Daphnia pulex: one gene and its partners. The protein of the gene in region 7 interacts with the protein of the main gene of each other region in a pairwise test. Links are inferred from orthologs where the notes say so. Each region holds a gene or a part of one and is shown on either strand. Other genes may lie near its edges. The genes, in order: mothers against decapentaplegic homolog 3-like, nuclear cap-binding protein subunit 1-like, LIM/homeobox protein lim-7-like, 60S ribosomal protein L22-like, protein mothers against dpp-like, myocyte-specific enhancer factor 2-like and homeotic protein ultrabithorax-like.

Region 1 (4,143 bases), on a different chromosome or scaffold from region 7:
TAGTGCACATTCTCGTCAACTGGTAAACAGCCTCAAAGCCTTGGCTCACTGACTGGGATAGAAGAGCGGCGAATTCTTGGTTGTTAAATATTTTTAAATTGCAACCTAAAGAAAAAGAAAACAATGATATAGCTCATTTCTATTTGATACCAAACGAACACATTTACCTGGTGGGATTTTACAAACGGTTGCTGGATGCCAACCGTAGCGCTGATTGCAGTTTGGTGACTGTACAAATATTGACGAATCGCTCAAACATTCAGCAAAAACCTCGCCACCAATGTAATAGAGACGAACTCCTTTCCCAATATGACGGCGAGTCTGCTCCACAACAGGATTACGATTCACGTTTGATAACAGCCCCAGGCAAAACCGCTCCGAGTTGCTGGGATCAGTAAAACCGTCAACGGTAATGGATGGCTGAGATGCATGAAAAGTTTCTCCCACGCGTGTGTTCAATTCATAATAGCTAATCGAACACCAAAAAGCCGGTTCGCAGTACATAACCGGTTGGGCGTCGATGGGGGGGCTGGGTGACACTCGGCTGACATCTAGATGTGAAAGGATAAGCATACATTATTACAGAATTTAGAATATGAATGAATATGAATGACTCACTCATTAAATCAGCGGGTTCTTGCGTGTCGCCATCTTCTGACATGTAACCTGGGGGAGGTGTTTCTGTTAATGGAAAAGTGCCGCCACCACCATCGCTTCCACCAATAGAAGCAGGACTAGGTGAATTCACCCCGGCGGTCGACATGATAAAGTCTGGACCGTCGGCTATCGATAACGGAAGATCATCCAACGAGAGCAGGTCTTGAATTGTGGCGACCGTGCTTGTCACAATTTGATGATTGTTATTGGTTCCTGGCGATGAAAGGTTGACACTGCTCACTCCAGTTTCCGCTTGGCGTGGTACCAAGATAGGCGGTAAAACTACACGGGAGAAATAAAGCCTTAGGTTTTTGGTTTTTGTAAATTTTTAAAAAGCAATTGGAACAGTGTCACTTGTTAGTCATATTAAATTGATGCGGGATACGAGATGTCTCACACATATCTAAACAAAATTCTAAGAAATGTCTAATAGAGTTTCATTTCTTTCAATTTATCGATGATAAAGTGAGATATGACTCACACTTAATTCAAAACAGATGTGCTTTAAAGTTGTAGCAACAAACGTTTAGTTTTACTTTACGACCGACAATTCTTTATGACTTCATTTCAGAGTAAAATTCCTGAGAACAGATAAGTATTTACAATAGGACACTTGTCACGCCCAAGGCGATGTAATATGTTTGAAGTAAATAGTAGCAAACTTTCCCAAGATTTTGTTTTTAATATTTTTTTTTTACTACTTTACTGTTTTTAGAGAGGGTAAATTTGATGAGCAATTTTCCAGCTAAACCTCATACAGTTTGATTTGAAGTACAAAGCCTGAAGCCCTATACAAATCAAGCTATGTATGTAGGTCTTCAACTTCAAAATGATTTGAATTACAACTGCTACTAACACATTATTAGAAAGTAACTTTTTACTGAAATGCAGTGAAAAACATGTTTTCTTTAAAATGATCAATCAAATCAGATCATTGAGCTTTCAAAACATAAAGAAAATAAACATCTTATTTAGAGTTGTTTGTTTAAGTTGTGTTTGCTTATTAAAAAACAAACATTGTGTAAAGTATACCTGGTGTTTCCACCCTTTGGTAGTGGTAAGGATTAACACAAACTTCGTCTCGTTTGAGCTGAAAGGCGTACTCGCAATTTTCAAGCGCATGCAATTCGTGGTGTGTCTGAAGATCTGGCCACCTCCACAGGCGACAGTAAATTACATGAGGCAGTCCTTTACGTTGGGATACTTGAAGACGGCCGTCTAAAGATCTGCAAAGATGTAATTGACTAGGTTAAATAGGTATAGATTGTTTATGTTATTTATCATGTTACATACCTTGGAATTGTAATACACTTTGTACTGGAACTTTGAGAAGTTACAGCTTTTTCCAGTTCATCTAAGCCACCACTTTTTTTAAGCTTCTTAACAAGGCTTTTGACTGCCTTTTCACTCCACTTTTCTTCACCTTCACCTTCAATAGAAAGGTTGAGGAGAAATTTGACATTTATTTAACACTTGGCAACTGATTGTGTCAGATGGATAAATGAAAGACCAATAAACAACTTGGCAACAGGAACAAAAATATGGTGTGTAAATGCTTCTACAAGAACTATTTTGATCTTTTCTTAAGTGTTGCATAATATGTTATGCTGTAGTAATCGTTAAATTCTTTGTCAAATCTCCCATACTCAAGAGTACCATTTTTACTACTTCACTAGCTGAAACTCTTTCCAACTGTGTTGAGACTAAAATGTGATTGTTTGTATCTATTTGATTCAACACTAAATACTATTTGAAAAGAACCAAAAGGTTACTGCCAAATGAGAAAAGCATACCTCGTTTCCAACCGAGCAATCGCTTTACTGGGGATGACAAGGGTATCAATGAAGTCATATTATAAGCAATACTTCACCATCACAAACTAGCCGAAACACGCATAAGCACAAAAGTCACAAAAAATCACTCGGCCAAAAGTAAACTTGAAATTCGATCTAACGAGTCACAATCATCATTGGGAGGTCAAAATCAAAATGATCGGACACGACACTCACGTTGCTGTGCTGTTGCTCTGCTAGTGCTAAGACTTCGTCAGAGAAGAAACCAAAACTACAACTTGACGGCACCCTAAGTTAATATTTGGGATCTGTTTCTCGAACATGAACGATAGGTGGCAGCACACCACATACTAACAGTGAAATATAAAGTTCGTTTCAATTTGAAATCTCATAAGAATATTTTCATTGTTACGTTATCGTTCGATTTGATATACCGTAATGACTCGGTTAGAGAAAATTAGAATGGTCCTTTATTGATTCTTCATTAAGTTGTTAGCATTAAAAGTCTAATACGTACATTTATCGCCATCTGCAGGAGGGGTTTCTAAATAAGCATTACCAAGGGCCTTTTTCATATAATGAACTAACAATTTCTTCCGTGTGCCATTCGTGTATCCATCCACAGACGTTTTCCTACGCAGACAAACTAGTTCTTAAGGATTGATCTCATGACAACAAACAGATTTAGATGCGACTGTGCTTTAAAGCGAATCAGAAACTTGCTTTTCGAATCATTTGCATACGAAAAAACAAACACAAATATTTAACAATTCGGAAAACTACGAATGAATGAATGGGAAAATACCTTAGCCGCGAGCGTGTCGACCTGAATAGCGGATTTCGGACGACGAGCCATTCAGAGTTGCAAACCAAATTTTTCACGCAAAATCGAATACCTTTATTCGACTTTGATTTTCTACTATGATGAGCAGTCGATGTAGACTGTCTAGTTAATAAAACCTATTCTAACGGTAATACACTTACCAATTCAACTAATGATTTTGTTATGTAAGTTGTTTTCATTTTAAAAAGGCGGATCCCGGTTAGTATGACATCATCGGAATACTATCCGTCGATTTCTCCGTTCTCATTACGTCAGCGATGATATAACGGGTTAAATAACAAACTAATTTTACGAATTCTTGAAGCATACATTACTTCGACCAGGAAATCACATTTAAGATTTTACATTCTTGGTTCACAACATTGAAAACTTAACGTTAATTCACTTGGTAATAGTAAGCGATCGACATCGAAGGCCACGAATGGAGAGATCATAAACCACTTCCTCGATTTTCTTCACATCATATTTAAGAGCATCAAATCTTTTGCGCAGTGAATCATTCTTCAGATTTAAGAGACGGAATCCACCTATAAAGTCGAAAAGAAAAAGTAGTAAAAGTTTATGAATCGTGGAGCGAGCAAATTATATGGTACCATTCAACTCGGAGACGAATCGCGAGATACGAATGGGCAAATCATAGTTTCCAGCAGTCACGCTATTTACTGCCAACCTAGACTGTGGAATAAATCAGAAATGAAATAAACTAATTCAAGTAATAGATTAAAAACAAGTTCAAACCAGTTCTGAAGCCAACTGTAAAAGTCCAGACAGATAATCTTCAACATCCAAATGGAAACCATCTTCCTCTTTTATGGATACTAAAAGACAAGAATAAATGCATTAAATTTG
Region 2 (4,092 bases), on a different chromosome or scaffold from region 7:
TGTTCGCACCTCTAGATGGATCTTCATCAGATGATTCCGAATCAGATGGTGCAGCTCTGAGTTTAGCGCGTGCATCCGCCACCTCTTTCTCTAGACGGACGACGTGTTTGTTCATTTTGCGAATAGTCAAGTGCAAGACCTCCCAAATGTACGAACGAGTGAACTCGGGTGCCATGTCTCGTGAAAAGATCCAATTTGCTACGGCACAACACTCAACAATTTGTGTCTTTAACATCTTATCAACTACCACTCCTAAAAATTGTGGGTGGTGTTGCCAGAGCTCATAAACTTGACGAAGCATACAGATCTGTGCCTCTTCATTCTCACAAATATTCTATGACAGAAACGTAAAATTGAATCGTTTTATACTATCGATAACATTTCAATCTGTTGAAAATACCTTGAAGACTGAATGATATTTAGCGAGACCTGCAAAAGTATGCGTAAAACTCTTCGATCCCAAATGTAGCAGAGTCTGAACAAATACTTCAATTGCTAGAGGATTGTGTGAAGGCTCCATATCCCCGTCGTCATCTAATTACAATTGCATCAAAATGGCTTGAAGTTATACATATTGTATCCACCATATTTACCTTTGAGAGGATTCGGTAGTTGCTGGACCAACTCTAGTACTTCTTCAGGCGTTGGCTTTTTTCTTAGGAGCTCAGTCAAAGTCTGGACTTGAGCAGCCCCAGGAAAACCATTTCCTCCTTCAATTTGGTATTTAAAGTACGGTTCTGGTTTCGGGGGCAACAGCGGTGAGTAACATTCAGGCACCATTTCAGTCACGCGCTTGTGATAGGAGAGTCTCAAACATTTCCCGAACACTTCAGAAACAAATTTTGCCTGAAATTTAAGTGTTCCTTTAGATAGATTTCGAAAAATTTCATTTTTTTAAACATTTACCTTGGGGTGGTCTTTTTCGAGTGAAAGACAATTCTGCCAGTCATCCCAACTCCAGCGGAATTGAAAGTTACTGAGATGGTAAGAAAACCAAGAAACGAATCTATCAAAGCAGGTGGCATTCATGGTATCAATTCTTTCGTAAAGCAACTCCGTAGCCTGTGCTAACACCTGGTTGTGAAATAAAAAGTCAAATGAAAATGTTCAAGTTTCTACTGTAAGATCATATTTTCACCTGAGGCATTGTACTTGGTTGAAGCTTGCAAAGTTCTATCAAAGTACAACCATAAGCAATCTCCAAGTAACGAGGGGAAGGCATTTGGAAAAGTTCTGAGAAGAGAACTTCAACTATCATGTATTCCAAAGGGATCTTATTTCTCTGTGGGAACGCCAACAATTGGGTGGCTCTGAAAAGCAAAATTAATTTACTATTATCTGCACAAACGTTTCTGTCAAGTTGAAACTCACAGTTCCTTGCGTTCGTTATGATGACGAGTGATGATCTGGTGTAAATGTTCCTCAATCAAGTAACGCTCTACTGAATGAGTTCCTGGTAAAAGTGGACCAGCCTGAAAATGAGTCCCGAGTTAAATACGCACGATACACACTTTTGAAAGCGTTTAACTTACTTCTGGACAGTCAGTGTAATCAAACATCCTGAAAACAACCCATGGTAGCGGATATTGCGTACTAGCTGTGTGAGGCGGAGGTAGAATGACCGGGAGATTGTGTTGCAAAGCTTCAGAGAGGATAGAATCAAAAGCTAAATATGGACGGTAAATGTGTCTTTCCTGCCACTCGTCTGTCCGCAATTTCCGTACTTGAGCCCAAAGACATTCCAGGTATTCTTCCTAGAAAGAACGTTTTTCGAAATTTTTCAATTATTATTAAAATGCCATGCCATTTCTGACCTGTGGGTGCGGAGTTTCACAATTCCAAACTCGAAGAGCAGCGACATGAGCAGTATTTCTTCTGCGAAGATAACCTTCCATTGCTGCCATTATACGTTCAAGATCATTTTCTTTCTTTTCAAAAAGCTCTCGACCAACCCAAGGAAGCGCCGTCAACAACGCATACATGTACCTGTAAATTGATACAGTGTTGTGATCTACATTACTCTTGCTTTAGAATAAAACAAAAATTTAATTACCAGTCTCGTCGAACCTGAGGAACTCCTTGTTCCATGGCAGCGTCAATAAAACTGTCATATAACTGTAGCAAGGAAGAGGCAGAGACTATGTGACAGTTGACCATGTCAGATATGAAACGTACAATTAAACGAGCAGATTCCCATTGCCCCTCACGGAGAGCTTCTTTTAGGTTTCTCACTATTTGTTCCACAAACTAAAAAAAGATATACTTGTATCTTAAAAACTGAAAGTACAATTTTAAAACAAACCTCTCCTCCAAAATTATAGTTTTTAGCATTCAGAAGACCAACTAATGTGCTGTAGATAGTACATTTCTCTGGCATTTGGATTGGGCATTCCGACAAAATACGTAATATTTTACTCTTGTACGTGTTCAAATCAGCTTCTAATACTGAAGCAAGCCCTTCTAAATTGCTTTCTAAAGATGATGACGTTTTGTCTCCAACCCTGATAATAAGAGATTCTAACCGGTCTTCAATTTCTGCCTGCTCCGAGACAACTCTGCGCCTTTTACGATACCCATGTTCTGTAATTTTAAACAAATAACTTTTTATAATGTCATCAAATTCTTCAATAAGTTGTAATCCTTACCATATCCATCATCACGTTTCCTACGACTCATTCTTTGATTTTATTTTAAATTGGTCTACGACGCTTACAAGACAGACAAACTACTACCACCCTGTTTGACTGTTTGTCATATGGAGCTATTAAAGAAGCTGTTAATTTGACGCCATCTATTGATGAAATCATAAACTTCGATGATCGTGAAAATAGTTTACATAACTTGACAACGTAGCTGTAAAAATTGTTTATTTTAGGCAACGCAATTTGGCGCAAAAATTCAATTCAGTTTATATTCAGCTGAATTGAATTAAATTCACGCAAAAATGGGATTTGTTGAATTCAATTTAGGTGAAATTGGCTACGAATGTCGGACGATTCGGCAAAAACCATTTCGGCAAATCGCCGAAAACCGTTTCGGCAAAGTTGCCGAATTGTCACCTATGAAATTACCGATTCGGCAAAAGTCGATTCGGCAACTGTGCAAATGTAAATTGGCGGCAAATACTGTGGAACCCAATTAACCCCACAACGTTAGCTAGGGCTGTAAATCGGGTAAAAGCAAAGCGCACTGCTAAAAACCCAATTGATCTTTTTTTTCAAATCAAAATGGACTTAATGCCCACTTCGTTTTTTAAAGGAGAAGTTGTAGTTGGTTCTAAACGTCATTTAATTTTCATGACTGACGAACAACTAGCGCTTTTGAAAACTGCCGTTCGATGGTATGCCGACGGAACCTTTAAAATAATAAACTTCCCTTTCACTCAACTATTTTCCCTCCATGGTTTTCTAAAAAAGAATGGGCAGTTAAAGCAGGTTCCACTTTGTTTTGTGTTTATGTCGGGAAGGGCTCAAAGATCTCTCGGGAAAGACAGTATAATTCGCGTGTTGGTGGTGGCGCTGATTACCCGAAACCCACACAGCTAGCGCCACTGGCCTTACAACGGCATTTTAAACAATTTTGCCGAATTGGCTTTTTACCGAATTGGTATGTACGATTCGGGAAAATAACAAAGTCAACCAATTCGGCAAAAACCAATTCGGCAAACGTCAAATTTGCCGAATCGTCCGTATACCTTGGCTACAATTCACAACTTGGCTCGTAGTGCAAACTGTGGATGGAATGGAACGAACATCAGCTTGATGAGCGGCATTGATTAAGCCTGCAGGATTGCTTGACACACAATAACTGTCATCCGTTGAACTAGTGGATAGGCCTACAGATTCCGCTGCATTGACTACAATACAAAAAGAAATGATTAAAACGAAGAGTGAATAATAAAATTAATGGTGAATGGAAGTATGCTAACAACCACATGAGCCATACCTGGTAAAGAATTGTTCGTACTTGAGTCTCTTGTACGTGTGCTCTCGGCCCGTTTACGGCCCGCATTCACACTTTTCTCCACAGCAGGATTTGTTGTTGATGGGACACTACTGTTATTCACTGAACTGGTGGATAAAGATTCCGCTG
Region 3 (4,093 bases), on a different chromosome or scaffold from region 7:
AGTAAAAAAAAGAAGAGCGACAGTTTGTATGGAATATGAGACGTGTCGACGTCGCCGGCCTATGTATGTGTGTGGATAGAAGAAGAAAAAGTGTCACAAGGAGGTCAGAGACTGTCAATAATCCTTCCGTCATCTCTCCGAGGACTCCGCCGGACAGACTCTGGTAAACAGCTCCACTTACCCTCCTCAAAACCTATTCCGACCGCACGACGTATGCTTTGTGGTGTCTACAGTGTGCTGTCCATCCATCAAACCGAACTGACATATAAACAACGTCAAAGTCTATCAAGAAGAATAACATCAGCATATTAGGAAGGAAAAAAAGGGATCTAATTAACCGATTGGTCACGTGTTGCTTCAATGGCCGTGGCTGAACGCGTGCCGTAACCATCACCGTCACATTTGAAACACGAAGGCGACGACAGCCAAGACAATCGACCAAGTCCATTACGGCGCGATACAAAAAGAAATTTGGTACAAGAGTTGCAACTGCTGGATGACTCTGCTGGAACGGCTGTACAAAAAGGCCTACGACGTGACTTTGATGGATATTGGGCGCATATGTAAAAAGGCGGTTCCAGTTATCAACGTCGAATTTCTAGCATGCTGGCAGAGAACAAGGTGGCAATAAGAACAGTCAACTGAATTCTATTTCCTCCCATCCGTGAGGCAGCTAAGCCCTAGCGCTTGCGCCGGCCGGCCCGATCGGAAACGGGCGTCCGAGTCGCGTGCCGATCGGCCGAGAGTCACGTGCCGGCGTTGACTGCCACTTCCGCACCCCACGCAAAAGAGAGTCTGTCCGTCCCCCCCATCAGTAGGACGCCTATAGACGCGTTTGATTCTTTTTACCGCCGCTGTCGATTCATATCGAAAAAGTGCTGCGACCGCACCGGTTTTGTCCCTCTTTTCCCGACCGCATCGAATCCAATCACCCCCCAACTCCCACCCATAACTGAAAATGTACCGCAACTAAAACTCGGCGCAATCCTTTTGCTCTCCCTCCGGTTCACTTGGCATTTTCACCTCTTGAAACCTACGCAGTGAGGAGGGGGGGACGGACGTGTGTGACGGGCACAAAATATGTGCCTATATATCAAAAAGGGTTAGATTATTATATCCTGTACGAATATAGGTTCCCATCCAGCAGCCACCGCAGCAGCAGCCGCCGCATAGTGTGGACAATGGATCGTGTATGGGGCCTTCCGCCTCTTTTTGACGGACTTTGTCGAGTGCTCGATGGATGGCTGCTTCATACAGCCGGAATCTATATCGATAATTAGCCAATTGTTCGGGCAGGAGAGACAACATTTCGGGAAATAAATGCGTGGGTGAAAAAGGGGGGTTCGCTTTCGCAGCAGTTCATACACTTTCGGCTTCAGCGTGTACACAAGTACGCTCTCATGATTGATCACACCTGCTCCCATTTGAATCTCGCCTGCAGCTATAGACGTTGAATATAAAATGATTTGAAAAATGATTTGAAATGTTGGAATGAAACGGCGGGTGGTCGTTCCACCGATATTATATAACCACGTAATAAACAGAGTTTTACGTTTATTGGCTATTGTTTTATTTTGGAGCGACTGGGTAGGGCCAAATAAGTCTGGCAAAATGCCGCTTTTGAAAAAGAAATAAAGAGGAAAGACACGACGTTTCAATTTCATAGTCAAATAAACCGACAAACATGGCCGAGTGCTATTTGTGGGACATTTCTCTATGCACACACCCGTAACCAGAACCCCGTTACGGGTGCCGGTGTGTGGCGTGTCATCAAACATTTCTAGGTTGCACTTTGCTTCAATTGTGTAAAGTTCAAATGAATTCGATTGTTTCTACCCACAGACAACGTTGTGAGGTACGAAAAACCGGGCCTGATCTGCAGTCGTTTTACAATTGAATTATTTGAATGGACCCTGACTGAGTCAACACAAAAGGCAAGAGAAAACAGTTGCAGTCAACTACCTAGCTCACGAATGATCTATGCTCCGTAACAATTTAGAATCAACGCCATCAAATAGCAAAGAGAAGGAAGAATAGAAATTGCATTTGTCCTACCTTAACGTCCGGGAATCCACAGCCAGGTATCCACAAGTGATTCACGCTGAGAAGTTGAATTCACCAACAGGAGGAAAAGGAAAAAGGGGGCCATCGTGAATACACCCACACTCGCATGGGCGTACACGAGGACATTTAAAAAAGAGGAAGAAGAGATCCGTAACACGGTCAGCATCGGTAGTTTCTCCAACCAAACGGGATGCTGTTTATCTAAATGAAAAATAAAAATTTTGTTACGAAAAAGATTGGCAGAAACATCAACTTCACATGGGGAATAGTTGATAATGAGACCATGGGTAAACCGTACTTTAATAAATAGGAGAATTGAAGGTTTTCATGTAATAAAAGGCATTAATCACTAAAATATCTAAAAGGTAACAGGTTGATAAAAGTATCGAAAAAACATTACCCAAGGGATGACACTGAGATTACTTGCTGATGACATGTCCAGCACAAGCGAAACATGTATATCTTGTGGTAATGTCTGGCTCAGGCCTCACATCTGCACAAAATAAAAGGTAATATAGTTTAAACAAACTGCCATGCATTGATAGAGGGCTTTCATCATTAATGCTAATCATGAACTAATATTTCACACAATTTGGAACAAGTTTAACTCTTCTATTTAACTTCACATAATCATTCTATTTTAATTATTAGTTTAATTTACCTGCTAAACAGCATGGAATGTGTATTAAACTATTCCATAAATAACCTCGACCAGATTTGACGAGAAGACGTACCACATGTTTACAACGACGTTTCCCTCCAAAAAAGACAATGAAGCAGACGACACTAATATTCTAAATAGCAATCTGATAAGATATCGATCGAAATTAAAAATCGACCTGCCCCCTCTCTACAATTCAAGAGGAAGAGGGAATAAACTATTAAATCATACAAACATTTCAAACATTTCTCGTAGCCATTCAGCTGGAATCAAATAGTTTTTTAAACATTCCTTCCACATTTTCCACCTCCAATTTAGCGCCAACTTAATCCCGACCATAATCGCCTAATAGGTGTGCGCCCTGTGTGGGTGTACATGCAGTGCTTTCTAATGTATTTAGCCTCCCGCTATCTATTGATATACAGAAGAAAGGAAAAAAAAAATAACCTAACCTTGCGGATTATTGAATCAATATAAAGGCAACACACTGTCTAGAGGCGGCCTATATGATGCACATATAAACACACATCAGCGTCAGCCATTCTTTGACGGGATTATTCACGACCGCCCGCGAGGTTACTGAATCCAAACTATTAATAGCCAGACCCCCCCCCCCCCCCGTAATAATCCTTCGATATCTAAATTCCATTTCGCCATCTACATAATATATTTATAGACACACAAACGTCTGGAGATTTGCCAATGAATATACCTATTATTATCTCCTCCATTTGATTGAAATCGACAATCAATTTCAAAAAAGAAGCAGACTATAGAAAGAGAGAAGACTGTCGCCATCGAGGCTAAATAGATGATTGCTGATGGATTTTTCTGTACATATAAAATATATTAACTGCTATCTGAACTGATCCAGGCGCGACCGAACGACGACCTCAATGGCCAGTTGGTCGCTGAGACTGCATGTTACATAAAGTGTCACACACACACACACACACATCTATGCAGCTGATGTCGTGCTGTTGTTAGTCAGGCGAAAAAAAAAAAATAACCCACCCCCTATGTGTGTTATATACTACCACCATTCGTGTGCTGGCCTTCCTGCGTCTATAAACCACACACACAAATAGAAGAGGAAAGAAGAAGAAGAAGAGTATAGACATTGGTAGACGACAACACGGTCCGTCCGACAGCAGACACAGTGTCGTGATGTACACGTAAAAGCTTCGGCGCCGGCCGCCCGTTTGTGTTGCGCCAGCCCCAGCAAAGAGAAAGAGGCTCAACTGGCTGACGGCGTATACAAGAGCCAATGGCGTCATCAGTTCAGCACACAAACGGACATCACAGTCTCCAGCTCAAGAGATAGATGCGCCCAGGGTTCTCTTTCGGCACAGCTGCTGCTGGCTGCTG
Region 4 (3,798 bases), on a different chromosome or scaffold from region 7:
GGCTAAATGCGGTTAAATATTTTTAAACAGACATTCGAGGCGACTCTTCTACATATACAGTCATCAATGTTTAAAAAAAGTTAAATGTGTAAAACTTTGAACTTTAGAGTCTAGGCGGTATATACTACGCCGGTTATTTCGATGAGGGCGGATCGAATGGAGTTGATCGTTTCCGAGATGAGACTATATATACTTAATGTTCTTCTTTTTTACTCTCTCGCTCTATACTACTCTCTACAGCTATTCGTTTTTCCTCAACCACGCGATTTTTTACGACAGCCGCCCATCCGTCCGATGAGCGTGACCGAAAGCAATTACAACTCAAATTTATTGTTTAGACTGGTCTTTCTTCTATATTATGCACGTCCCCCTTTACATTTTTCACTTCATTATTTTCGTTTTCGGTTAGTCTTTCTTGAAAAAGAATAATAATTTCAGATTCAGTATCTTCAAGGATCACTAACTTTATCTATATATTAATAAGTTAGTTATAACTTATAAGCATAAGGACAACGGCAGCAAAATCACCATTCTACCGTGCACCATATAAGACGGAAAGGACCCAGGACCGAAGGAGAGGCCTAACGATTTTTATTTTTTATTTTGGTCAAGGATATAGCTACTTGAAACGACTACCTCGGGCCATCTACTGGTGTTTTGACGATTTGAAAAATGACATCTAGTGGTAATATATGTTCGTGAGTGAACCATGAAAACATCTGCTCACGCAGTCACGCTGCTTGCATATAGCCATATAGGAAAATAGGTGAAGATGTATCACACATAAAATAATAAGAAAAATAACAAATGTACATGTAAAATAAAAAATAACGAAATAATAAAGCGAATTAAATAGTTAGTAAGAGTTGAGGCTAATGAGGTTAGATTACCCCACGTCACACTTTGTTCATAATTGTTACGAGAATTCGTTTATATCACCACACACATTCACTGTACGGAATGGTTTTTCGCTTTTGCTTTTATCTCTGCTTTTAGATATTTTTCAACACATAGAAAATCCGCTGCATATATTTGTCGTTATTGAACCTACACAGATACACTATATTTTTGAAATAATTAACTATTTATTTTCCGGTAGGGTTTTGAATAACGGTTCTTATCATAAATAACTACAAAGTTCATGTAAAAAATGTCCGATTAATTCTACGTTATCATCTTTTTTCATAACTTTACTAACTTCACTACTAATGAAGTCTGACCGAGGAGCGCAATCAGATTGAGTCCCTACCGCACATGTGTTTAGGGATTGAATAGTAACGAACAATAAGTGGCAGCACTCGTTTTACACCTTCTCTTCCTATCCTCATTTTTGTCAGACTCTTTCACTTATCTCGCTTCTGCATCAGGAACATCACCATGTCGCCGGTAAGAGTACTTTTAAACTAGCAAATACGTGGTAAATTGACTGGTAATTGTCTCAAGACGAAAGTAATGTATTGAGTAATATGCAAGTAGCTCAGTTATTGATATTTTTTAACGTTTTTCATATATGTTAATTGAATATTGAAATAGACCACGCTGTCAACGTGGTGTGAGTGGGTAGTACCTTAGGGAAACTGATGATACATCCATTATAACCGAACTAGAGTCTCTGAATCTTTATGTTGAATGGATTAATCTGAAGTTTCATTTGCCTCATGTTTAAATCATGTTTAAAGTTGAAAGTTAATGTGTCTTATTTTTAACAGGCAAAGAAAGCACCAGCATCTGCTGATCCCAAGAAGGCCCCGGCCCCCGCTGCAGCCAAAGCTGCCCCAGCTGCTGCTGCTGCAAAGAAGCCAGCTGAGAAAGCCCCTGCTGCCAAAGCAGCCCCAGCTCCAGCTCCAGTGAAGGCTGCTGCTGCAGGAACCGCTAAAGCTCCTGCTCCAGCTCCAGTTACCAAAGCCTCTGCACCAGCCGCCAAAGCTGCACCAGCTAAAGCTCCAGCTGCACCTGCTCCTGCTGCCAAAGCCCCAGCCAAGGCTGCAGCACCAGCAAAGGCAGCCCCCGCTGCTGCTGCCCCTGCTGCTAAGGCTGCTCCTGCTGCTAAAGCTGCTCCTGCCAAGGCTGCCCCCGCCAAGGCTGCTGCTGCTGCTAAACCAGCGGCTGCTCCAGCTCCCGCTGCTGCTGCTGCTCCCAAGAAAGGCGCTGCTGCCCCTGCTCCAGCAGCCAAGAAAGAAGCTGCTGCCCCAGCCAAGAAAGGTGCTGCTGACAAAAAAGCTGCCCCTGTTGCTGCTCCTGCCGCTGCTGCCCCAGCTAAGCGAAAGGCTGATGCCCCTGCTGAAAAGAAGGCTCCAGTTGCTGAGAAGAAACCAGCTGTTGAGAAGAAGGCTGCTCCGGCAGCTGCAGCTCCCAAGAAGCCAGAGGCTGCTGCTAAGAAACCAACAGAGAAAAAAGCTGAGAAAAAAGCTGCTCCATTGAAGGCAGCAGTAAAGGCCAAGAAGGAGACTCCCAAGAAACTGGAGGCTGTCAAACTCAAGGGAAAAGGCTACAAGGGAAAGAAACTTAACCTCAAGTTTACCATCGACTGCACTCACCCAGTTGAAGATGGCATCATGAATGCAGCTGATTTTGTAAGTAGCTATCCAAATCTTATTACTGAGGGACTTATGTTCCAAAGTACTAATGATCAATAGGTTAGGGTCACCTTCCCTAACTGGTTGGACTCTAGATTCCCTTAATGGGTTTCTGTTAGGGTCACCTTCCCTAGAAGAGTCAGTGAAGACCAAGATCTCTTATTTGTTTACAGGAAACCTACTTGAAGCAGCACATCAAGCTGAACAAGAAAGTTGGAAACTTGGGTACCCACATCCAAACTGAATTGGCCAAGAGCAAGATCATTGTTTCCTCAGATGTTCCTTTCTCCAAGAGGTATGTGTTGTTCTGGTGTTTGATTACAGTAATTGATATGATGATATATCCATAAGATTAACGAACTAGAGTCTCTGAAAACTGATGTGTGGACTACTCTGAGACTATTGTTGATCTTTTTAGTAGGTAAATGTAAATCAGTGAATAAGTATTTTATGTTTAAATTAGGTATTTGAAGTATCTCACGAAGCGGTATTTGAAGAAGAACAACCTTCGTGATTGGCTGCGAGTCGTTGCTAACGGAAAGACCTCGTACGAGCTCAGATATTTCAACGTAAGTGAATAATATCAAGTGATAGTACCAGTAACGTAACTAATTTGTTTTTGTTTTTAGATTAACAACGAAGAAGAGGATGATGATGACGATAAGGAATAATCTGTTTCTCTTGTTCCGTTTTTGCTATCTGGTAATAAACGATGGCCATGACATTTGTACAATTATTATTGTGGAAAATTTCACTATTATTCTAGTTAAATTCGAAAGGTTCAAGTTGGTTTTAAAGTAGTTAAATAATTGCGATAGACCAATCGAGTTTTTAAATTCCTGATATAAGGTGACAGTTAAATGATGGAATGGAATAACCTTTTGACACGGAAATTCTGGTTGATATTATTACACATAACTTGTATTATCGGTAAAGATTAATTGCAACATTTACGTTACCGACGATTCAAGTCCAAGTCTTCCATAAACGAGGTCAAATTTAAACGAATCTTTTTACTTCCTTGACTTACACACTGGAGAAGATTCATCATCTGCCTTGGAGAATATTCCTGAAAAATGATCAATACAATTTTTATGTTGCTTTAACTTTAAACAATACTGAAACAAACTAAACTTCTCTTCAAACCAAATCAAAATTATTACCGTTTGTTCTTGGATCCATTTTTCCAATGCATTTTCGGGAAGATAATATGCTTTAATGT
Region 5 (4,251 bases), on a different chromosome or scaffold from region 7:
AGCTGGTGCAGTTCCTGCTTTCCTGGCTTCTTCTAGCTCTTTTGCCTTTCTCCAGTCTTCTCGAGTTTTCTTTTGAGGTTCACTACCTACAGACTGAGATTTGCTAGCTATTAGCAGCGAAACTGGTAAACTTGGAGTGTTCGCCATTTTAGGAAAATTTTTCAAACCAACGAGTAAAAGAAGTTGATAAAATTCATGTGCTACAATTTTAACAATTGGTGTGAAATGAACCAGTTTGCAATGTTCGTTTGTCAAGCAATCCTTTATTCCTTTGATTGTTATTGCGATACACGAATTTACGACTCCACGACACTACACCTGACTACACATAAGGGGAAGTGGATAAAGTGTGGGTGCGGAATGCAGGACTGCAGGAGTACTTCATGCAGCCTGCTGCCTGCAGGGTTGCTTGTTTTTACTTTTTGTACGCATAAATAGGCCTCAAGCGAGTATGTTCAGTCAGGGTCTCAGGGAGTCAGGTTCAGGATCAGAACTAACATTTCACATTTCGATAAAAGTGATTGAGGCGGCTCGGCTGAAAAGTGAAAACGTTTATAATAATAAAGTTGGCTAAAAATGGTCGCGGGAAAAAACAACTTTTTAAAAACAAGTTCTATTTTTTGTTATACTCTTTTTTAAAAAATGTGAGCCATCTCAAGTTTAGACCATAAATCCATCAATGCTGAACGACAGGGACGATTTTAATCATTTTCCCAGTTGATTTGAACATCGTAATTTAGCGGATGTCTATATGTAGAGTAGCTTTTCTTGTGCGTTTCGCCGTTTCATACGGGAAAATATTGAATCTTCGGAATGGTTTTTACGCATCTTTGTTTGCGATTCATACGTAACGGCGCGCGGCTGATAAGGATAACGGGTTACGTTAGATTTAATAGTCACTAAAAATTGGAGCTTCGTGAATGTTCCCCATAACCTTGCTATTTTGTGAAAATAATTTGTGCTAGTGGTTACAGCACTAGACTGAATACGGTACTCTTGGGTCTGTTGTTTTTCCGCCCCTCGTTATGTCGTTACACAATTAAGCCCCATTACCTCCATTAAGATATTAAGACTGAACAGATAAATGATTTGGCTTAACTACTCAATAAATTAATTTTAATTTATTATATTTTAAATAATTTGACTTGAGAAAACATTCGATTCCCTGTGCTGCTGAATCTGAAATTCCAGAAAATACTTTGAAAATTTGTTGTAACATATTATCGCGATTAAATAATCGATTTTGGTCTTTTAACTCTCGTTATTTTATTTTATAAGATTATAAATACAGTTCATAATGCACTAAAAATTCCAAATGCTTTTGCAATTAGGTTTTTATCGAGTATAGAACAGTTGTTACTAGGCCTATATCAGCATCATTTTATCAAAGCAAAAAGCAAGAAAAAAACGTCTCTTGTTGTTAATCGATCAAAGCAAAAATCGAACGAATTTTGTGCTACGATGCCACACTTTACGTTTATGTAATTTCAGAAGTGCGTCATGCCATTCTTTATGAAAAATTTCCCAACTTTTTAATGCATCTCTTCTAGATTTGGAACAAAAATCAATTTAGTATTCGCGCAGTTACTAGTATGAATACGTTGTTGTGATTGTCATTTTAAAATTGTTGCCTTCGCTTCAGTATACTTGAGGTTGAGGCAGAGGCGCAGAGCTTGAGGTTAAAAGCGGGCAAGCGCTCAACAGATATTTGGAGAGGCGTTGACACGTTGTAAACTGTTGATTCTGGAACCACCTGCAATTAACAATTTAGCGTCAATTATACATCATTTTGGAGAGTGGCAAGTAATAACTTCGAACATCCTGATTCATTGAGGTTTAAAGAATTTAAATTTAATGTGATTGATGACTTATTTTTTTACAATTTCAGATTAGAAGATGTCTGCACTTAACAGCCTTTTCTCATTTACAAGCCCAGCAGTGAAAAAGTTGCTTGGTTGGAAACAAGGAGATGAAGAAGAAAAATGGGCTGAAAAAGCTGTTGACTCCTTGGTAAAAAAATTGAAAAAGAAGAAGGGTGCCATAGAAGAGTTGGAGAAAGCACTTAGTTGTCCTGGACAACCGAGTAAATGTGTTACTATTCCAAGAAGTTTAGATGGTAGATTACAGGTAAAGAGTACTTGATGCTATCTTAAAATTTTGCATCTACTGACTTTTTGTCATTTGTTCTTCATCCTCTAGCTATTTTAATTGTAAAAAGTTACATGTTTCTCAATTGTGTTCCAGGTTTCACACAGGAAAGGTTTGCCTCATGTGATCTACTGCCGTGTGTGGCGTTGGCCTGATTTGCAATCTCATCATGAATTAAAACCCTTAGAAATCTGTGAATATCCATTTTCCTCTAAGCAAAAGGAAGTTTGCATTAATCCTTATCATTACAAAAGAGTTGAAAGTCCAGTGCTTCCACCTGTTCTTGTGCCAAGACATTCAGAATTTGCTCCCGGACATTCACTTTTACCTTTTCAACAGCTACCTGAACCAGCAATGCCTCATAATGTCTCTTACTCAGCTCATGGTTTTGGAAACCAATCTGTTGGCTTAACTCAAGCACCTGGACCTTCAAGCACTAAAAGTATGGAGAGGCCTGTGACAAGTGCATTAAGTACCCTTTCTGTTAGTCCCAATCCTACGTCGCCCATGAGCAATGTTTCAAGTCCTGCCCCAAACAGCCCTTACAACAGTTTACCAGGTCAGAGGAAACATTCATTAAATCATTTTTGTCCAACACTAGAATCTTTTGCATGTATTAATTTGTATGTGTATTTTCATTTGATTTAGCTGAAACTCCACCACCAGCCTACAGTCCCCATGATGAAAATGCTTCATCCCAGGAACCCATGGATACAACACAGGGACCAGTGGGAGACCTTGCTCCTGTGGCTTACCAAGAACCCATATATTGGTGCAGCATTGCTTATTATGAATTGAACTCTCGAGTTGGCGAAGTATTCCACGCCCAATCTCATTCAATAATTGTTGATGGATTTACAAATCCTGATAACAAATCTGATCGTTTCTGTCTTGGTCAACTCTCGAATGTCAATCGTAACTCAACCATCGAAAATACGCGCCGTCATATTGGCAAAGGTTGTATCTAGCATCTAGCTTTATTTACCATGTTTCACTGTGATAATAATAAATTTTATTCCAATTAGGTGTTCACTTGTATTACGTTGGAGGTGAAGTTTATGCCGAATGTCTATCCGACTCTGCTATATTTGTTCAGTCACGTAATTGCAATCACCATCATGGATTTCATCCCACAACTGTATGCAAGATTCCTCCTGGATGTTCCCTTAAAATATTCAACAACCAGGAATTTGCTCAGCTTCTGTCACAATCAGTCAATCATGGTTTTGAAGCAGTCTATGAGCTCACCAAAATGTGCACAATAAGGTAGCTATTAGCACACAATCGCTAAATTGTATTTCATTCATCGACATGTTATGAATTGTCACCTTTCAGGATGTCGTTCGTCAAAGGGTGGGGTGCCGAATATCACCGTCAAGATGTTACAAGTACGCCATGCTGGATAGAAATTCATCTTCATGGACCATTGCAATGGCTGGATAAAGTTCTCACTCAAATGGGCTCACCGCACAATCCTATTTCATCTGTCTCATAAGGCTTTCAACCTGCATCGTGTTTTATCATGGGAATTATTTTGTTTATCAACGACAATCTACGGTAATAAGCAAGGCTGCGTCAGTGTGAGACGAACGTAGATATGTGGCAGCCTTGTTGCGGATATATTTCAATGCCGATAGTCTATTTTTCACTGTTGAACAATTCACACATCAATATTAAATTGTGAGTAAATTTTGCTTTCACCTCCCTTTAATGTAAACTGAAGGGATGCTGCTTTTTTATGTTAACTTCCTTTAGCGACAAGTTTTCGTGTTTTTCATCTATTCGGATAGGGACACCATTATAACATTATGTGCCATATTCTCCGAGTTTGCTCATTTGGATTTGAAGAAAATTCGAAGTGTGGGATCCAACCACTTAAAAAGGGAAACATCAATTTTAAAACAACATTCTTGCTGATTGATTTTTCATGAGGGTGAATGACAATTCTTTGATAATGGTAGAGATTCATTATGTGCTTTGACGTTCAAAATTGTTCTTTAACTATGTACTCGTACCATTTTATTAATAAATGACGAAATCTTATTAGGTTTTATGTGTTCATTTTTTTTTCCCGAATTGGAATAGTCCACCGAGAAGAGCTTT
Region 6 (3,987 bases), on a different chromosome or scaffold from region 7:
CCCCACCTCACGTTGACGATAACCCAAAATGAAGGTTGAACGTGAGCAAATGAGAGAAAACGCTTTATTGTACTCTTTTCATTTTGATTTCCTGCCATCCGCTTCTTTTCTTTTACCCTCAAAAAAAGAAGAGAAACCACAAACGACCTAACGGCTGAGAATTTTCGATTCGACCGACCGACCACTTATTGTTTAATATTTTTTGTTTCTTTTTCCTATTGAACGAGGAAGGGAGAGAGGGTCACTGGGTATATAATAGCAATAATAATGGTGAGTGTGGGACGATTTTCTACACGCCATTGACTGTACGCGGCAGCAAAAGGGGCTCGTGCGGGACCGTGAAAAGAAAAAAAAAACTGCTCCTAGCCGATGCAACAACAACCAAAAAATGGATGAAAAATGGCGCCAACGATTCACACACAAGAGTCAAAAGGCGGCGCCACTTTTCAGTTGGAGATACAGGTTACTGGTAGAGGAACGTGACAGTTGGCCACGCACTTTAAATCACTCGTGGAGGAACGGTTCACGCGGCGAAAAAAAAAAAAAAGGGCAAATACATAATACACAAGGAAGCAGGAGGATGCACAAGAACACGGAGCGGACGACAACACAAATTATCGATTTCTTCGCTCTAGAGACAAAAAGTCTGGGCGGCTCCTTTCAATTGCCTTTTGAAATCAAACGACGGGAGACAAGTTACATGGTTGCGCAAAAATAAAAAGGGGAAAAAACTCTCCAAAAGTTATCTTTGGGAAATGGCGACATTTTCCAACTTACAATTCGTCCCTTTTTTTCGTACTTTTCTTTCTTGTGTGTGTTTTCGTACGAGAACAAGAAAACTAGTCGAGCGAATCGTTTCGTTTTATCAAGTGCAGACGGCCATGACGCTAAAACATTGAGAGTCCATCAGCGTGTAGTGGCCAACGACTTGAACGTTGTATTTCCCTACGAAATGCTTTCGTGCACACACACACACACAGCACTCTGTGTGTGACGGATCAAACGAACGCACAAAGTGAAATAAAAAAAACTCGTTCAAAAAACAATGGAGCGGAATTGTTCGTCCGTAGGAAATTAAAAACAAAATTTTTTTGAGAAATTGTTTCTCAAGCTGCGCTAGTTTAAAAAAATATAAAACTGTGATTTTTATCTCACCTGTACTTTGGATCTTTTAATATACAGGTTTTTCTCATCTTCCCATACAAAATCATTTCGGCGTGGAACCTTGAAGCGAAAAAAGGGGGGGATCAGACAACAAAACGAGGGGGTTCAATTGAACGGAAAAGAGATGGAAGACTTTTTTTCTTTGACATTCTTCCTTTTAACAAAAAGAAAATATCCGTTTTGGTGAATACATCAAAAAGGAACTCGCATAAACCCCTTTTTTTTAACCCTCTACTTTTTTCGGGGGGGAAATGTTAAAAACAACATTTTGTATGTGCAAAAACTGCGACCCCGTAGGGTTGCAACCACCATTTTTCTTTCCGGAATGCATTTCAATAATAGCCGCTTATTTATTTTTTGAAAAGAAACATGAGGGGGTTGGTCCTCAAAGGGGTGTGGGGGTTTTTATTTTGTCTGTTGTTAGGCCCCAAAAATGGAAAGTTCATATAACACGAGGTTCAAGGTCGTTTGAATAATACACCGCCATCCCTTTCTGCGAAATTTATTTTTAAATGTACGTCTACGTACTAAAATAAAATGTGCAAGTAAGGCATTCATTAAAAATAGCCCTAATGCCCTATGCATCCATGTGCCTACCAACTGTAATATTCCCAAAGGCACCAATTGAATTACTTACAAAATTGGAAAAGAGGAAAATTGGAATATACCGAGAACGTTTCGCCGTTCTTGGCAGAGAGGCCACCCGAGGAAAGGGGGTGGGTCATTAGCATATCGATTACCAATGGTGTACAGTGAGGATACCCCGTTTCAGCAAAAAGTTTTGAACTGCAATTGCAACAGAAGATGAAGAAGAGCCTTTTTTATTTCGCCCCGAGGGCCTTCAGACGTTTTGTACCAGACTCGAGTCGATTCTGACAATGTCCGGCGAACACGATTCACGCTTCACAATGTTGTCGGTACTGTACCTCGTCACCCCGGCAACTCTCTTGCCATACCACACGAATGACTTAACAAGAAAGTCAAGGTCGACAAGATGTTGAGAGAAATGAACATTCTTATAGACACACAAGTAGGTGCTTTCTTTTTGTATAACCCAATCATCTTTCCATCTTGGGTGATTGAAATAAAAAGTGGCCTGACTGGATTAACAATCAACATTTTACACACACACACACACACACAAACTTAACATGTGCTCCCCCCCCCCTTTACACACCCAGAATTTTTTTCTACATACACCTGCTGGTTTTTAACCGATGAAACAATAACGACTTGCGTGTGATCTAGCCATCCCCAATAAAAAATCAACGTTCCAAAAAGATTGGGAAATATAGCAGTAAACTTGACTGTGTTTCTCGTGTATGTGTGTGCTGGTCAATGGACTAAATTTGTGTATGTGTGTGGCGGCCAACTCTTTCGCGTTGCTCCCGACACAGTCGTGCAAATATTCGATTGGATTTCGTGATTGACTGAAGCTTGAAAACACTTACCTTATTCGATAACTGACGGGGAGACAACACGCACTCCAAAGTGTAGAGGGTAACAAAAAACAAAAGTAAACAGCACTGTGTGTGTACGTTGTTTCACGATTAACCACAGCCCAGAATGGACAACAACACGTCTCTCTTCTCAGATCCCTTTACAACAAGTGCCAGAGACCGACTCCATTACGAGGGAGCCACCATCGTGTCTGAGCGGTGGCGCTGATGTCGTTCCTCGTCAATGGGAAATTTTTAATTTTGTTTTTATGATTCTTTTAAAATTTTATTTCATTTTGCATCGTATCGAATTTTGCAAATGAATCATTTTCCGCTGATTTGAACACTGTTTTATTACACTTTTTATCCGATTACTTTTTATTAATGTTGTGACTGCCATCTATCACTGTTACAGGAAGTTGGAATACATTTATTTACCATTATTGAATCCGAGTGATGAGAAATTTTACACGTGTACGTAATGACCCTGTTGAGGAAAAGTTTACGGTTTTTCGCTGTGCAATGTCGGAACTGTGCATCAAAATCTAGTCCAAATGTAGAGGTTGTATTTCATAAATTGAAAATGTGAGCCAATTGTATTTCATTTGTTACGTTGCACCCATAAACAGTTTACCGCCTCTACTGTTGACATCGATGGCAGAAAATTCAATCGGGACAAATGGACAAATGTCAATCCCAATATTTTGAAGTATCTCAACAGGAACTTGCACTTGAAACCTGGACATCCTCTGTGCCTTCTTAGAGAGAACATAATCTCCTTTATGTACAAATCGTTTCCAAATCACGCTGGCAATCCAATATTCTCTGTCTTCGATAGATTAAATCCTATCGTCACTACCAAACAGAATTTTGACAGGTTCAACCAACTAATATTTTTATTAATTGTCAAATTGCACTAATATATAGTGGTGATTCAGTTTGCTGATTCCTCAAGACCATCCAAGTCGAACACCCTCAGATTGCTACTACTTAAATAAGGATTTCATACTGAGGGGACACACTAGCTCTCATCAAGAAGAGCTGATTGCTAGTGGCTTAGATAGTTTCGTTGTCATGGGTGATGTGTATAGAAGAGACGAAATTGATGCCTCACATTTTCCAGTTTTCCACCAGGCTGAAGGTGTGAGACTGTTTGCCAAACACCAAGTATAGTTATTTAAAAATTTACATGGAATATAAAATAAATGTTTTACCCCCTATAGCTTCATGATATAGACAAAGAAAAAGTAGAGTTGTTCGAAGATGGAAAGCGTACTCCTCACAAGCAAGAATATCACACTGAATTAACTTCTGATAAACTCCAACATGAATTGAAAACTTGCCTCACCAAGTTAGTCCATCACTTGTTTGGCAATGGTAAGTG
Region 7 (4,025 bases):
AAAATACAGCGATAGCAATTGTAACTTGTAATTGTCTTGAATTTTCTTTTGGCATGACAAGATGCAATTGTAAAAAAAAGAGAAAATACAAGGAGTCATAGATTACTTTCTATATTTATTATTTTGTTTTTCCTTCCCCCTCAAATTAAAGTTGCTGCACTGAAAAAAATCAAATAAAACATAACCAGTGCGGGTTATGTAGGCCTCCCAAAATGTTTCAACTCAAATTCTTAACTCTCTCTCCGGCTGTATTCGAAGGCCGAATCCAAGTTGTAAAAAAAAATAGGGGGGACGACACATCCAGCAGACTTTGTGTGTAAGCTTAATACTACGTGTCTTATATTTTAGGCCTAGAAAAGCGACAAGAGTTTGAAAAAAGGGGGGGCTGGATAGCGGATCCCCACCAATATAACCCCTTGTATAAAATCTACCAAGAGAGCGAGAGAGAGAGTGGTGGTGGTATATTCATATATTGGATTCCTATGGGCCTTCCCTTAAGAGTTATACAATCTCTCCTGTTATTGGGAAAGAAACCTTTTTTCTTTCTTGTGTATTGCGCTGGATATATATAACCCCAAAAAGAAGAGAAGGATGGAACATAAAAATTGAAGGCAAGAAGAAGAAGAAGAAGGAAAGAAAAGGGACAGTCTTGGCGGCGGATAACTGCTCTAAAACGTAACCCTTATCTCTTTTCTCTTGGGTCTCCCCCCGAAAAAACAACCATGGGTTGGGCGCAACCGGCACATACACACACACACATAGTGCGCATACACACACACACCATATAGGCCCTGGCCAATTTTTATTTGGGGTGGGCATCCTCCTCTTCCCAATAAAACGCGGAGAAGAGCAAAGAAGCCAAAGAGTCGTAAAAAATGCATATCCCTTCTTTGACTCTGTGTGTCCTTCGACCCTTTTATACACGTATATATACATCTATCCTATCCGTGTGGCTATGCAAGAGGTCCCCCCCGATATCACCCGTTTTTCTTCCGACGCAACACCCGACTGACCCCCCAATTCTTCGCAATATAACCGTCACAGACTCACACAGCCGAAGACGAGGGGGTAAAAACTTCTCTAGCTGGAAAGAGGGGGTTATAAAAAAAAGAACGGCTGTAACAATTTCCTTCGGAGTATAACCCCAATAACATCTCCAGCATCTTTGTATAACTTTCCCCACCAGAAGAAGAACTGGAAGAAGAAATAGAAAAAAGGACACGCCACATTCTTGAGCGACTCCTCCTTGATCGGCCGTGGCATGTCCTTCTCACAATCACATCAGTTCCGACTCTGAGGCTTGACCGATCACAATGTTTTGAGCAGCTCGATCACAGAGACATTGTCCTTCAAAAAAATCAAAGTCAAAACCCGATCGAAAAAAAGTTTCGTTGCCCATTCCGTCCATCTGATGGACTCGCAGACAGTGGAGCGCTGTCCGTCCAGCAGCGCTTGACGACACAGTAGTTAGTTAATAGCTAGTCTCAATATATAACCCAGTCAGTGAGTTGGTGATCGTTCAGGTGCAACTAGAAAAAACCCAACAAAAAACAACAACGTTGGACATCCGAAAATATTTCGTCGCAATCATTATCGGCATCCATCCATCCATCCGTCTGGCTCCCACAAGTGCGGACCTTGTTACCTTTTTTCGTGCGTGTGTTGTGTGAGTGTGTGTCTGTGTTTCGAGGCCTCCAGAAAAGAAAAAATTGTTGAGGTAGTCGAGAGAGAGAGAAAGAAAGAGAGAAAGAGGAGTCGAAAATTGCGAGTTTCCTGTCTGTTGGTTGAGCGGAAAGTGCCGGGCCGATGACGACGCCGAAGGACGGCCATTTCCACGCCCGACGCCAACGGATTACGCAAACCGCGACTACTCCCTCCTCCTGCTCCGCCGCCGTCTTCTTCTCTCTTTCTCCTTATTTTATCGCTTCATTTCCACAAGAGATTCGGCAAAAGAAAACGCAACTAAGAGCCGCAAAAAGTCCTGGGTGAGTTCACAGTTCTTTTTATCCTCCTTTTAAAAAATAATTTCCCGCGCTAGTCATACATTAGCGAATAACCTTATCGCCAAACTCCGAGCGATTGGCACCGACCAATAGATTGACTCTCAAAACAGCAGTTGGATCGTCGATTTCAACACAGTTACAAATTTTTCAAAAACATTTTTTGGGTGGTTTTTAAAAGTTAAAAGGGACTCGGCGGCGATGTTCAAGGAGCCTCCCAGGAGTTGTAGGCCTAACGCTAAAGGCGGCGGTTCAAATGGCTAATAAAAAACTTTTAAAAAGCACTTTGTGACGAATTGTGCCCAACTGTTTACCCCAAAACACATTACAGGCCTATCATTCTTCACCATTTTCTCTCTCTCGAAAAGTCAACTAACGATATACTATATATTTGTTGATTCAATTTGTTGGTATCGAGAATAACCGCTGAAACGCTTCGAAAGATCATTAGGAGCCCCCCTCACCGAAATAGGCCTAAAGGTCACCGTATAGGATATACTATCTAGTCTGCGCATACATGTAGCCTACTAAAAACCGACTTGGATAAATCATTCTTGGTAATAGCAGCAAGCCAGCACACGCGTATTGATGATTGTTTTACTTTTTATTTTATTTTTTCCCGGGGAATAACGAAGAAAACAAACTGCGGTCGATGTTTTTTTTTTGTTTTTGTTTTTTTCTCTTCTTCTTCCTCCGTTCGTGACTATTGGTGCGAGTTTTTTTTTTGGGAAGCCAGCGTCGGCATAACGAAGTATTTATCCCTTTTTATTTTTTTGCCCGTCTTTCCTTTCTTCTCCAACTTCTCTCCCAGTGACTTTCGGTTGGTGTCGACTCACGACGCCCAAATTACGTGTGTAGATTAGAGAAGAGACGACACACAAACAGACAAACACAGACACAGCGGCGCGCAAAGTCAAGCCAAGTATGCCGCGTGAATGTTATATAGGACCGGACGGGGTGGAGCGGCGGCCGCAAGAGAAGAAGAAAAAAACCAAACCAAACAAAAATGACTCCAGTAGAGTGAAAAGAGAGCGCCCAGCAACGTCGACGGCTATACTAAAACCTACACTTCTCTATACGCATAAGAAATATCAGTAATATGTAATTTAGTCAGAGCTGCTGCTGCTGCTGCTGGCTGCCCAATTTCTTGCCGTCTTTACGCACAAGTCGCGTTTCGTAACAACATTACACAACGGCGGCGGCGGCGGTTCCATTTCCCACACACGGCCCCAACAGTCCGTGTTTTCTTTTTCCTTCTCATTTAAATGACCAAATAAATAAATACATGTTGACTGAAATGTATATCCACATCGCGATGTGCATATATACTCGAGTAGTATACATACAGCCAGAGAAATATGCGTGTTAATGCTTCCAGTATATACATACGTACGTATATATACTACATATACTCAGAGCGTACGAATATAATCATGATAATTATCTGGGCGTCGTCGACTTCTTCTTCTTCAGTTCGGTGGCTTCGACGTGGTGGTGTTTGTCTACTCTACGACATCTAATACAGAAATCTTATAGCTACTGCCTAGCCAGCCCATAACTACACATGTGTACAGTTGGGATATATACTTGCTAGTGGCCTACTATTTCTACCATTTCCGCCGAAGCTCGCTAGCTCTCAATGACTGCACTGTTTATTCTTCTTCTTCTTGTATAGTTCCTCACATCCGGCGCGTGAGGTCGGGAGGGGGGATATGCTATCTGGAAAATGTTATACATAACGTCAAACTGAAATCATAATAATCATAATCATAATAATAATAGGCCGTATACTAAATACATAAAATATAATGAATTGCGGGGGCCGTGATCAGGGCTGCGTGAAGCTGCCGGGACACGCGGAAAATAGAAAAGAAAAAAAAACAAGAGTCCCATAGCTATGGGAGCCGAGTAGAAGGCAGAAGACGAGAGTTCCGTTCCGCAGATATAACTACGGATGGTTTCCTTGTCTCCATAAATATTTCCCAAGTCGAAAGAAACAGAGGAAGGAGTCGGAAGAGAAAGAAG

What was found.
Region 1: the proteins of homeotic protein ultrabithorax-like (region 7) and mothers against decapentaplegic homolog 3-like interact in a two-hybrid assay, tested with the Drosophila melanogaster proteins (2 studies listed by BioGRID, with this or other methods). The link is inferred for Daphnia pulex from reciprocal best matches to the Drosophila melanogaster genes Ubx and Smox.
Region 2: the proteins of homeotic protein ultrabithorax-like (region 7) and nuclear cap-binding protein subunit 1-like interact in binary tests that used the Drosophila melanogaster proteins (3 or more experiments, as listed by UniProt). The link is inferred for Daphnia pulex from reciprocal best matches to the Drosophila melanogaster genes Ubx and Cbp80.
Region 3: the proteins of homeotic protein ultrabithorax-like (region 7) and LIM/homeobox protein lim-7-like interact in a protein complementation assay, tested with the Drosophila melanogaster proteins (2 studies listed by BioGRID). The link is inferred for Daphnia pulex from reciprocal best matches to the Drosophila melanogaster genes Ubx and tup.
Region 4: the proteins of homeotic protein ultrabithorax-like (region 7) and 60S ribosomal protein L22-like interact in a two-hybrid assay, tested with the Drosophila melanogaster proteins (2 studies listed by BioGRID). The link is inferred for Daphnia pulex from reciprocal best matches to the Drosophila melanogaster genes Ubx and RpL22.
Region 5: the proteins of homeotic protein ultrabithorax-like (region 7) and protein mothers against dpp-like interact in a protein complementation assay, tested with the Drosophila melanogaster proteins (2 studies listed by BioGRID). The link is inferred for Daphnia pulex from reciprocal best matches to the Drosophila melanogaster genes Ubx and Mad.
Region 6: the proteins of homeotic protein ultrabithorax-like (region 7) and myocyte-specific enhancer factor 2-like interact in a protein complementation assay, tested with the Drosophila melanogaster proteins (2 studies listed by BioGRID). The link is inferred for Daphnia pulex from reciprocal best matches to the Drosophila melanogaster genes Ubx and Mef2.

What each region holds. Positions count from the first base shown.
Region 1 is NC_060021.1:6,119,682-6,123,824, forward strand, and holds the start of mothers against decapentaplegic homolog 3-like, read right to left. Parts: upstream 2,801-4,143; 5' UTR 2,509-2,800; coding exon 2,451-2,508; intron 2,087-2,450; coding exon 1,951-2,086; intron 1,884-1,950; coding exon 1,690-1,883; intron 940-1,689; coding exon 619-939; intron 552-618; coding exon 168-551; intron 106-167; coding exon 1-105. Other genes in the region: translin-like, read right to left, coding at 3,676-3,821, 3,888-3,969, 4,033-4,112.
Region 2 is NC_060022.1:6,378,315-6,382,406, forward strand, and holds the start of nuclear cap-binding protein subunit 1-like, read right to left. Parts: upstream 2,801-4,092; 5' UTR 2,677-2,800; coding exon 2,646-2,676; intron 2,581-2,645; coding exon 2,303-2,580; intron 2,248-2,302; coding exon 2,054-2,247; intron 1,987-2,053; coding exon 1,815-1,986; intron 1,755-1,814; coding exon 1,533-1,754; intron 1,473-1,532; coding exon 1,372-1,472; intron 1,311-1,371; coding exon 1,139-1,310; intron 1,075-1,138; coding exon 907-1,074; intron 847-906; coding exon 594-846; intron 535-593; coding exon 401-534; intron 335-400; coding exon 10-334; intron 1-9. Other genes in the region: uncharacterized protein LOC124196162, read right to left, coding at 3,669-3,856, 3,946-4,092. UniProt on the Drosophila melanogaster protein: Component of the cap-binding complex (CBC), which binds cotranscriptionally to the 5'-cap of pre-mRNAs and is involved in various processes such as pre-mRNA splicing and RNA-mediated gene silencing (RNAi).
Region 3 is NC_060022.1:3,726,770-3,730,862, forward strand, and holds the start of LIM/homeobox protein lim-7-like, read right to left. Parts: upstream 2,801-4,093; 5' UTR 2,726-2,800; intron 2,558-2,725; 5' UTR 2,465-2,557; intron 2,266-2,464; 5' UTR 2,056-2,265; intron 1-2,055.
Region 4 is NC_060017.1:3,719,769-3,723,566, forward strand, and holds 60S ribosomal protein L22-like, read left to right. Parts: upstream 1-1,234; 5' UTR 1,235-1,377; coding exon 1,378-1,386; intron 1,387-1,709; coding exon 1,710-2,573; intron 2,574-2,636; coding exon of another isoform or gene 2,637-2,681; exon of another isoform or gene 2,682-2,749; coding exon 2,750-2,871; intron 2,872-3,039; coding exon 3,040-3,145; intron 3,146-3,205; coding exon 3,206-3,247; 3' UTR 3,248-3,298; downstream 3,299-3,798. Other genes in the region: syndetin-like, read right to left, coding at 3,532-3,645, 3,740-3,798.
Region 5 is NC_060025.1:5,190,921-5,195,171, forward strand, and holds protein mothers against dpp-like, read left to right. Parts: upstream 1-1,451; 5' UTR 1,452-1,803; exon of another isoform or gene 1,804-1,834; intron 1,835-1,888; 5' UTR 1,889-1,896; coding exon 1,897-2,127; intron 2,128-2,244; coding exon 2,245-2,707; intron 2,708-2,796; coding exon 2,797-3,105; intron 3,106-3,173; coding exon 3,174-3,414; intron 3,415-3,483; coding exon 3,484-3,643; 3' UTR 3,644-4,191; downstream 4,192-4,251. Other genes in the region: pre-mRNA-splicing factor SLU7-like, read right to left, coding at 1-147.
Region 6 is NC_060017.1:4,807,588-4,811,574, reverse strand, and holds the start of myocyte-specific enhancer factor 2-like, read right to left. Parts: upstream 2,801-3,987; 5' UTR 2,616-2,800; intron 1-2,615. Other genes in the region: phenylalanine--tRNA ligase, mitochondrial-like, read left to right, coding at 3,085-3,165, 3,233-3,480, 3,542-3,770, 3,827-3,980. UniProt on the Drosophila melanogaster protein: Transcription factor that could be a key player in early mesoderm differentiation and may be required for subsequent cell fate specifications within the somatic and visceral/heart mesodermal layers.
Region 7 is NC_060024.1:12,335,213-12,339,237, forward strand, and holds the start of homeotic protein ultrabithorax-like, read left to right. Parts: upstream 1-1,225; 5' UTR 1,226-1,985; intron 1,986-4,025. UniProt on the Drosophila melanogaster protein: Sequence-specific transcription factor which is part of a developmental regulatory system that provides cells with specific positional identities on the anterior-posterior axis. Binds the consensus region 5'-TTAAT[GT][GA]-3'.